Linked DNA regions of Callithrix jacchus. The protein of the gene in region 1 interacts with the protein of each later gene in a pairwise test. Links are inferred from orthologs where the notes say so. Each region holds a gene or a part of one and is shown on either strand. Other genes may lie near its edges.

Region 1 (3,561 bases):
GTCCCAACCAAAATCCAAGCCATATTTTCTGAGTCAGAGGACTTCTTGTGTGGCCGGCCCTGTGAATGGTGACAAGTGACCCTTACTGAAGGCAGAGTCTCGGGGGAGCACTGGCCTGAATCCTTGAGGGACATTCTCTCTTTAATCCTAACCTCCCTTTGAGGTGTGCACTGACGCAGCTGGGGTCAAAGGGCCAGTTTCTCTGAGCCCTGGAGCGGAGAGAGGGCGAGATGCTCTCATAGCCTTCCCAGCGCCCAGAGCCGGCCAGCTGTGAGATCAACTTGCCACCTTGCTGCCACCTTGCTCTGGGGCCTGGGGCGAGCCATGGCACCACTCTGTGTCTCCCCACCTGTCTCAGATGATAGAGGGCAGGCTTCTGGGTGTCATGAGAACTGTGTGCTGCGCATCCGCAGGGACTCTGGTGCTTTCCAGTCATCTCCCCAGGCCGCCATGCCAGCGGGCTCTGCCTGCCTCCCACTGACTTCTGCCGTGTCTCTTGTTTGAAGCTTGTGCGATCTCTGGCCTCTTCAACTGCATCACCATCCACCCTCTGGACATTGCAGCCGGCGTGTGGATGATGTGAGTAGTGCATGGCTGTCCCACCCCAGGGGTCCTGCGGGTTGGGGGTCTTCGGGGCACCCCGCGGGGTGGAGGAGAGGCAGGGGCTGCAGGAGCTGGTGTCCTTGAGGTTGCCATGGTTACTGGCTCCCACCTGAGCGCCTCAGGGCTCATGGGTTTCTGGCCACAGCATGGGTCTTCTCCTACTTCCTACCCCCACCATGTTCGGTTTCCCAGTGAGAGGTCAGGGTTTGGGGAATGCTCACCCCGGCCTTCATCCAGTGCAGGAGGCCATCCAGTACTCCAGACATTCCTGGAGCACCCACTGAGACTGCAGGTGCCAAATCCACTAAGCTGGGGCCCTTGCCCTCTGGGAGCTCCCAGGATGGGGGTGGGGAAGGCTGTTTGTTGGGGTTGGCTGAGGACTGGGTTGGAGGGTCCACTGGGAGAGGGTGCTCTAGCTCGGGGCTGTGCCAAATATGGGTGGGAGAGGCAGGTCAGAGTGGTCATGGGAACCTGTGGTCAGAACACCATCACGTGCGTTCCATGACCGCCTCCTGCCAGGTGGCACCATCCCATCGGAAGGGAAGGTGCAGTGAGGGCACATGAGAAGTGGCTGTGTACCAAGAATTTATGAGTGTCCTCGTGGGGCTTGGTCTTGAGGGGTACTGAGATGGACGAGATTCAGGTCCCTTCCTCAGTGACCTATGGCTAGTGGAGAGCCTTGGGGGCTTGCTGTTGTGGGGTCACCAATGCCTGTGTTTGCCAGTGGTGGATAGCAATGGGGATGGACAGAGGAGAGGCGCTGGGCCCAGCCTCGGGGTGGCATCAGAGCCTGGCCGAGTTTGCAGTGGTAGGGCTGGCCCAGCACAGAGTGAGTTGATGCTTGGAGGCCTGGTGTGTGGGAGGCTTGGGGCCGGATGCAGTGGTTAAAAGTTGTGAAGAGAGTCTCTGCCCTGGGTTTAGGGTGGCTCTGGGGTGTCCTGAGCTGCATGTCTGTTACACAGGTGTAATGATGGCACATTTCTCCTAGGCTTGGGGACAGACAGAAGGGCCTGGCTCAGTGTCTGGTAACTGACTGTTACCCACACATTGAGAATACCAAGACCACGGCAGACACTCTCTGTCACCAGTGGCTTAGCTGTTCCCACCCCAAACACGGGGCCGGATGCAAGGACTTGTTAAAGTTCTTCCTCCCAGCGTGGGCTTCCCCTGGGTGTCCCTGGGCCTTGGGCTGGTGGCATTGGGTATGTGGGCAGCCCTCCGTGACTGTTTTGAGACTGCCTGGCTCCAGCTCTCTGCCTCCCTGGTGGGGCAGCCTTCCTGATGCTGATGCCACTGATGGATGCTGGTGGCCGTGGCGATGTGAATTAACAGCAGACAGAGCTGCCAGGTGCTCCATCTGTGGGCACCCTGCCTCAGCCTTACAGCAGTGCCATGATGTGGGGTACTCTCCTCCGTCTCACACACAGGAGGATAAAGGGAAGCAAAAGCCCGGGGGCTTCCTCTAGGAGTGTTGAGTTCAGCTGGGGAGATGGGTGTGCAGGAGCAGCTGGGGAGTGCTGGAGTGTTCAGCAGAGGCTCTTTGGTGGGTATAAGCAGGTGCCCTGGAGCAGCCAGGCACCTTCCCAGAGGAGGAGGGATGGGGGCAGGAGGGCGAGGGAGGTGGCATTCATGTGGCACTGGCACTGTGCACCCCCGTCCCCTGGGATTGTCAGTCGATGCTTTTCTCCTGCCCTGCTCCCTGCAGTATGAATGCCTTCATCTTGTTGCTGTGCGAGGCGCCCTTCTGCTGCCAGTTCGTCGAGTTTGCAAACACGGTGGCGGAGAAGGTGGACCGGCTGCGTTCCTGGCAGAAGGCTGTCTTCTACTGCGGGTGAGGGGCTGCTGGGCAGGGTCCTGTGACACAGTTCCCCAAAACCCACTGACAAAATGTGACCCACAGGTCAGGTGAGGGTGGGCAGTGTATGCGTCTCCTCTGTGTAGAAGTGTAAACCCGGACGGCCTTTGTGCAGTGATTGCTGATTGCTGCCAAACCTGCCCCAGTGGTTCTGCACCGGGAACTCAGCTGTCGCTGTGCTGCAGTCACTGGAAGGTGTTTGAGCATGCGTGGCAGCATTCCGTGCAGCTGAGAAAAGGGAAGCGTCTGGAACTTTGGTTCATCCACTGGGTGTTGTTAACCAGATGATAGTAGGTCTGTAGGATGTGTTTCTGAAGAGTGGGCTGATGTAGGTGTCCTGACATGAGAGAGGAGAAGCAGGTTGTAGAGCAGAAAATGTCGTTGCCCTCTAAATGTGCTTGTCAAAGTTTTTCCCATTTCTAACAACGAAATCAATCTGTTATACGTCTCCTCTGAGTGGTACGATGGAACTAATTTCAGGATAAGCGTAATACATGGAAGCTCCTAGAATAACGCCCCTGGTGGACAGGAGGCTGGCGGCAGCAGCATTTATCACTGTCCAGGTTACCTTTCGAAAGAGGTGCAGGTGCAAGCTTGCTTTCCCTTCAGAGAGGCCCAGTAGTTTTGATGGTAAGAGCAGAAGCCTGGTGCTTAGCCCTGGAGCCGTCTTCTGCTCTGTCTAAATCACGAAGAACACAGGATCACAGACCTCAACTTCCGCAGTGTCATGTCCTTCGGAGTTCAAACAACTGTACTTTAAAAATGCTAGCCATACTATAAATTCATTAACTATGATTTGGAAGATGGAACAGTGTTACTTGAAGCCAGCTGCCTCCTACTCTTCTGATGTGTGTGCTTCCTGTCTGCGGGCGTTTTTTAAAAGCCTGCTTTTAACACAGCTATCACCATTATGAATAAGTTTGTATCCTGCTTTTTTCACTTAGTGTAATGATATAAGCATTTTTAACATCACTTTTAATATAGGAATATTCGTTCAGCTGGATGTATCATGGTTTTCTTAATTTCTTAACTGGTATAAATCGAACTGCGATAAGCATCTATCTGCTAAGACTGTTTCTGTGTTTATGATGATTTCCTTAAGA
Region 2 (4,114 bases), on another chromosome or scaffold:
AAAAATTCAGTCATTAAAATGATGGTGTGACTTTTTAGTGATGTGAAAAGATGTTTATGATACTTTTTTTAAAAAAATGACAAAATGTTAACTATTATCTCTGAGAGCTTATGTTTATTTTTTAGCTTGACAAAATGCTGAAAATATACAGAAAGAAAGCCGAATATATGATTTCGAATCTCATTGCCTTTTATTTTCCCTAGAAAGTTTTCTTGTACAACAGCAGCCTGTTGTCTTCTTTATTACTGCACAGGTTGGCTCCCAATTCTATCCTTGCAGACATCATCAGTTTATTTACTTCTGGGTAAGTCTGTCCTTGCTAAGGAGAACTCCCAGCCAGACCTCACCACAATAATTATACTCTAACTAAATTGCCTGGAATTTCCAGAGCTGTCCCAATCTCACACAATTTTTACTTATTTTTAATAAAGGCCGTTGGTTAAATTAGATATATTTTTTAACCCTCATTTTCAAATATAAAAAAAAATTATTCTTATTTTATATTTCCCAGAACTGGCTGGATACGGAGATATCTTTTCCATTTCTCCCTATAAACTGACCTCCTGACCTACAGTACAAATGTTTAAAAGATTCTCTCCACATGGCCAAAATTAATTGAGAGATCTTCACATTTATCATCTTGAATATCCCACATACTAATTGCATTCATTACAGGGGTATTTTTTTTTTTTTTTTTTTTGAGATGCAGTCTTGCTCTGTTGCCAGGCTGGAGTGCAGTGGCCCGATCTCAGCTCATTGCAACCTCAGCCTCCCGTGTTCAAGCGATTCTCCTCCCTCAGCCTCCTGAGTAGCTAGGACTGAAGGCACGGCCACGACGCCCAGCTAATTTTTGTATTTTAGTGGAGATGGGGTTTCACTATGTTGGCCAGGATGGTCTTGATCTCTTGACCTCATGATCTGCCCGCCTCGGCCTCCCAAAGTGCTGGGATTACAGGCGTGAGCCACCCCAGCCCAGGGGATAATTTTATCTACTACTAAGATGTATAGGGTCTAGTGTGCAAATTAAAACACATTTTAATCATCCCAGCTAGACATCCTCTGCTACTTCCCTTTTGTAAAACAAGAAACCCTTTGGAGGGAGAGGTTAAGGAGGGGACTAATCCCCCCACCTAACATTCTCTCTTTCAAGCAGCCGCATACATCTTGAACTTGGGATGTTCCCAGCACTCAGTTCCCCTACTCTCATTTCTGCAGCATCCAGAAACAAGCCCAATTCCCCTTACAGGCCCAACTCTCCTTTGGCCTGGGAGCCTCAAGTGCCACCCAGACAGGCCTGCGGAGTCCGACGGGGGATGAGTGGGGAGAATGCCATCGCCTTCAAATCCCCTACCTGGCCACCAGTTCCCAGACCCGCTGGTTACTCACTCCTTGGAGGAGCCTCCCCAGGCACTGAGCTGTCTCCCGAGAAGGGAAAGCGGGAACCCGGCGCGGCCAAGAGGTGCCCCGCCCTCTCCACGACTGGGGGACTAGGCCAGGCCAATACCAGCCAACCCTCTCCCCTTCCAAGTCTCCAAATAAATCTCTCGGCTCTCCCACCCTCGCACCTCCAGGGGCAAACGGCTATCTCGAACATTCTAACTGGGAGGAGGGGATCACATCTCCGGTTGGGGGATGGGAGCTGCAGCGTGACTCAAGCTTACCTGGCCGCCCCCTGGCCATCTGAACCTAGCTTTTCAGCCTTCAAAAGCCAGGGAGAGGAGGAAGAAAGTGAAATGCAGGTGGAGAGGGGGTCCGCTCCCCAGAAGGCACAGAGGCTGAGTAATGGGAACTCAGGGGGGAGTAGAGTACTTTGTTATTAACTTGGGGGAGAAGCCTCCTTCGATACTTGCAGATCTCCTCTCTACAGTGACCGGGAAGAAGACCTCGGTGGAGAAGAGGGGCTGGGTGGTGAGGAGGGCGTCCGTTTTCAATAACCCTAGGGAGGTTTGCCTCGACGTCTTCCCTGCCAGGTTTCCCAGGAAGGGGCACAGTCTCGGGGTGTGGTGGTGCTAGCTACCAGTTAATCTCATCTAGTGGTAGTCTGTGTGTATATTTAGGGGTGGGAAGGAGTCGTGTCTCCTCGTGCGCTCCCAGCCCGGTCCCAGTGACTCACAGGCAGGAGACGGCCCTTACACTAACCCCGGGACAGAGGGTTCGGGCGTGGGACCCCGATCGCGCGCTCACGCCGTCGCTCCCGCGCTCCTCCGCTGTCCTGGCCCGGCGAGGGGGGTCTAGCCAGCCGGGGTCCCCGGACCCCTACTCCCAAGCTCCCAGCTCTCACCTGCTCCTGGCGGCCAAGCAGCCCCCACCGCGTTTGCAGGAGGAGCGAAGAAAGGCGGAGGAGCGAAGAGAGGCAGGAGGAGGAGCAAGAGGAGGAAGGAAAGAGCGTCCCGGGAAGGAAGCCACAGCCGCCTGCCTCCGCCGCCCGGCCCGGGCACCGCCCCTCGGCTCTGCCTCGCTGGGCTCGCCCCGCCCGCGGCCGGAAGGACCCGGTAAAGGCACGCCAAGGCCCCCGCGCCCAGGCCCGTGCAAAGCGCGCTCCACATACAAGCCCGGAGAGGTTGACAGATGAGGAAACTGTCCCTTCCCACACTCCAGGCTTGAGGAAAGCTCAGACTACCTTCAGGACAGGCCGGCTGGCCGCCGAGAGTGAGTTTTCGAAGGGTCTCAGGGTTTCCCCTCCTGTATAACCAAAACCAGCTGCTCTGGAACGTATCTGGAGCTCAAGACACACACGTGATGAAGCACCACCCTGGCTGGAAGTTTTCTTTTGTTTTTTGTTTTTGTTTTGAGTCGGAGGCTCGCTCTGTCACCCAGGCTGGAGTGCAGTAGCGCCATCTAGGCTCACTGCAACCTCCGCTTCCTGGATTCAAGCAATTCTCCTGCCTCAGACTCCCAAGTAGCTGGGATCACAGGCATGCCCCACCACGCCCAGCTAATTTTTTTGTATTTTTGGTAGAGACGGGGTTTCACCATATTGGCCAGGTTGGTCTCGTACTCCTGACCTTGTGATCCACCCGCATCAGACTCCCAAAGTGTTAGGATTACAAGCGTGAGCCACGGCTCCTGGCCCCTGGCTGGAAGTTTTTAACCATGACTCCTGAAATGCAAATGTCATAAGCCAGTGAGATCCTTCCAGATGGTTTAGATTAGTATCTCCATTTTACAGATGAAAAAAATCCAGGCTGCGAGAGACAAGATAAATCCACCTAAATTCCTCAGTTTGTAAGGATCCAAGTTGGAGCAGGAACCCATGTTTCACCTGGCCCCAAATCTTACAGCAAGGTTTCTCAATAGTAGGCTATTGGCCTTTGGGGTGGGATAATTCTGTGCTTCTGAGCTGTGCATTGTAGAATGTTTAGCAACAGCCTGGCCTCTTCCCGTTAGATGCCAGTTACAAGAACCCCCCACCTCCAGTTATGTCTCAAAATATTGTCAAATGTCCCCTGGGAAGCCCCATCATCCCGAGTTGAGAACCACTGGTAACTTACTATGTGACCCAGTAACCTCTCTGAACCATGGCTTCAGCCATAAATTAGAGAGAAGGATAAGCCCAGCCATGGGTCTGCTGTTGCACACTTCTCAGCCACTTTCCAGACAGGGACCTGTGTTGACCACCCCTCCTCTGTGCCTGAGGCCCCTCCTCTGGGCCTGTGGCCATAGCAACCTGGAGAATAAGTCTTTAGATAAAGAAAAGCTGACAGAGCACAGTGGCTCACACCTATAATCCCAGCACTTTGGGAGGGTGAAGTGGGTGGATCACTTGAGGCCAGGAGTTCCACACCAGCCTGGCCAACATGGCGAAACTCTGTGTCTACTAAAAATACAAAAACTAGCTGGGCATGGTGCCCCCCCACTCGTATTCCCAGCTACTCAGGAGACTGAAGCAGAAAAATCGCTTGAACCCGGGAAGTGGAGGTTGCAGTGAGCTGAGATCATGCCACTGCACTCCAGCCTGGGCAACAGAGTGAGAATCTGTCTCAAAAAAAAAAAGAGAGAGAGAGAGAGAGAGAGAGAGAGAGAGAGAGAAGCAGTCACAGGGTGGTAGTGAGGACTGGTGCAAAAGTGACTGTCAATAACTTAGCACCTAAAGTAGGGGCTCAAAAATATTTGC

Evidence for each region. The genes of interacting proteins can lie anywhere in the genome.
Region 2: the proteins of CACFD1 (region 1) and LDAF1 interact in binary tests that used the Homo sapiens proteins (3 or more experiments, as listed by UniProt). The two-hybrid records come from large-scale screens. The link is inferred for Callithrix jacchus from reciprocal best matches to the Homo sapiens genes CACFD1 and LDAF1.

The regions. Positions count from the first base shown.
Region 1 is NC_133502.1:182,067,767-182,071,327, forward strand, and holds part of CACFD1 (calcium channel flower homolog), read left to right. Parts: intron 1-506; coding exon 507-579; intron 580-2,308; coding exon 2,309-2,434; intron 2,435-3,561. UniProt on the Homo sapiens protein: Transmembrane protein which mediates synaptic endocytosis and fitness-based cell culling.
Region 2 is NC_133513.1:22,329,064-22,333,177, reverse strand, and holds the start of LDAF1 (lipid droplet assembly factor 1), read right to left. Parts: upstream 2,847-4,114; 5' UTR 2,621-2,846; intron 2,338-2,620; exon of another isoform or gene 2,282-2,337; intron 1,589-2,281; exon of another isoform or gene 1,387-1,588; intron 1-1,386. UniProt on the Homo sapiens protein: Plays an important role in the formation of lipid droplets (LD) which are storage organelles at the center of lipid and energy homeostasis. In association with BSCL2/seipin, defines the sites of LD formation in the endoplasmic reticulum.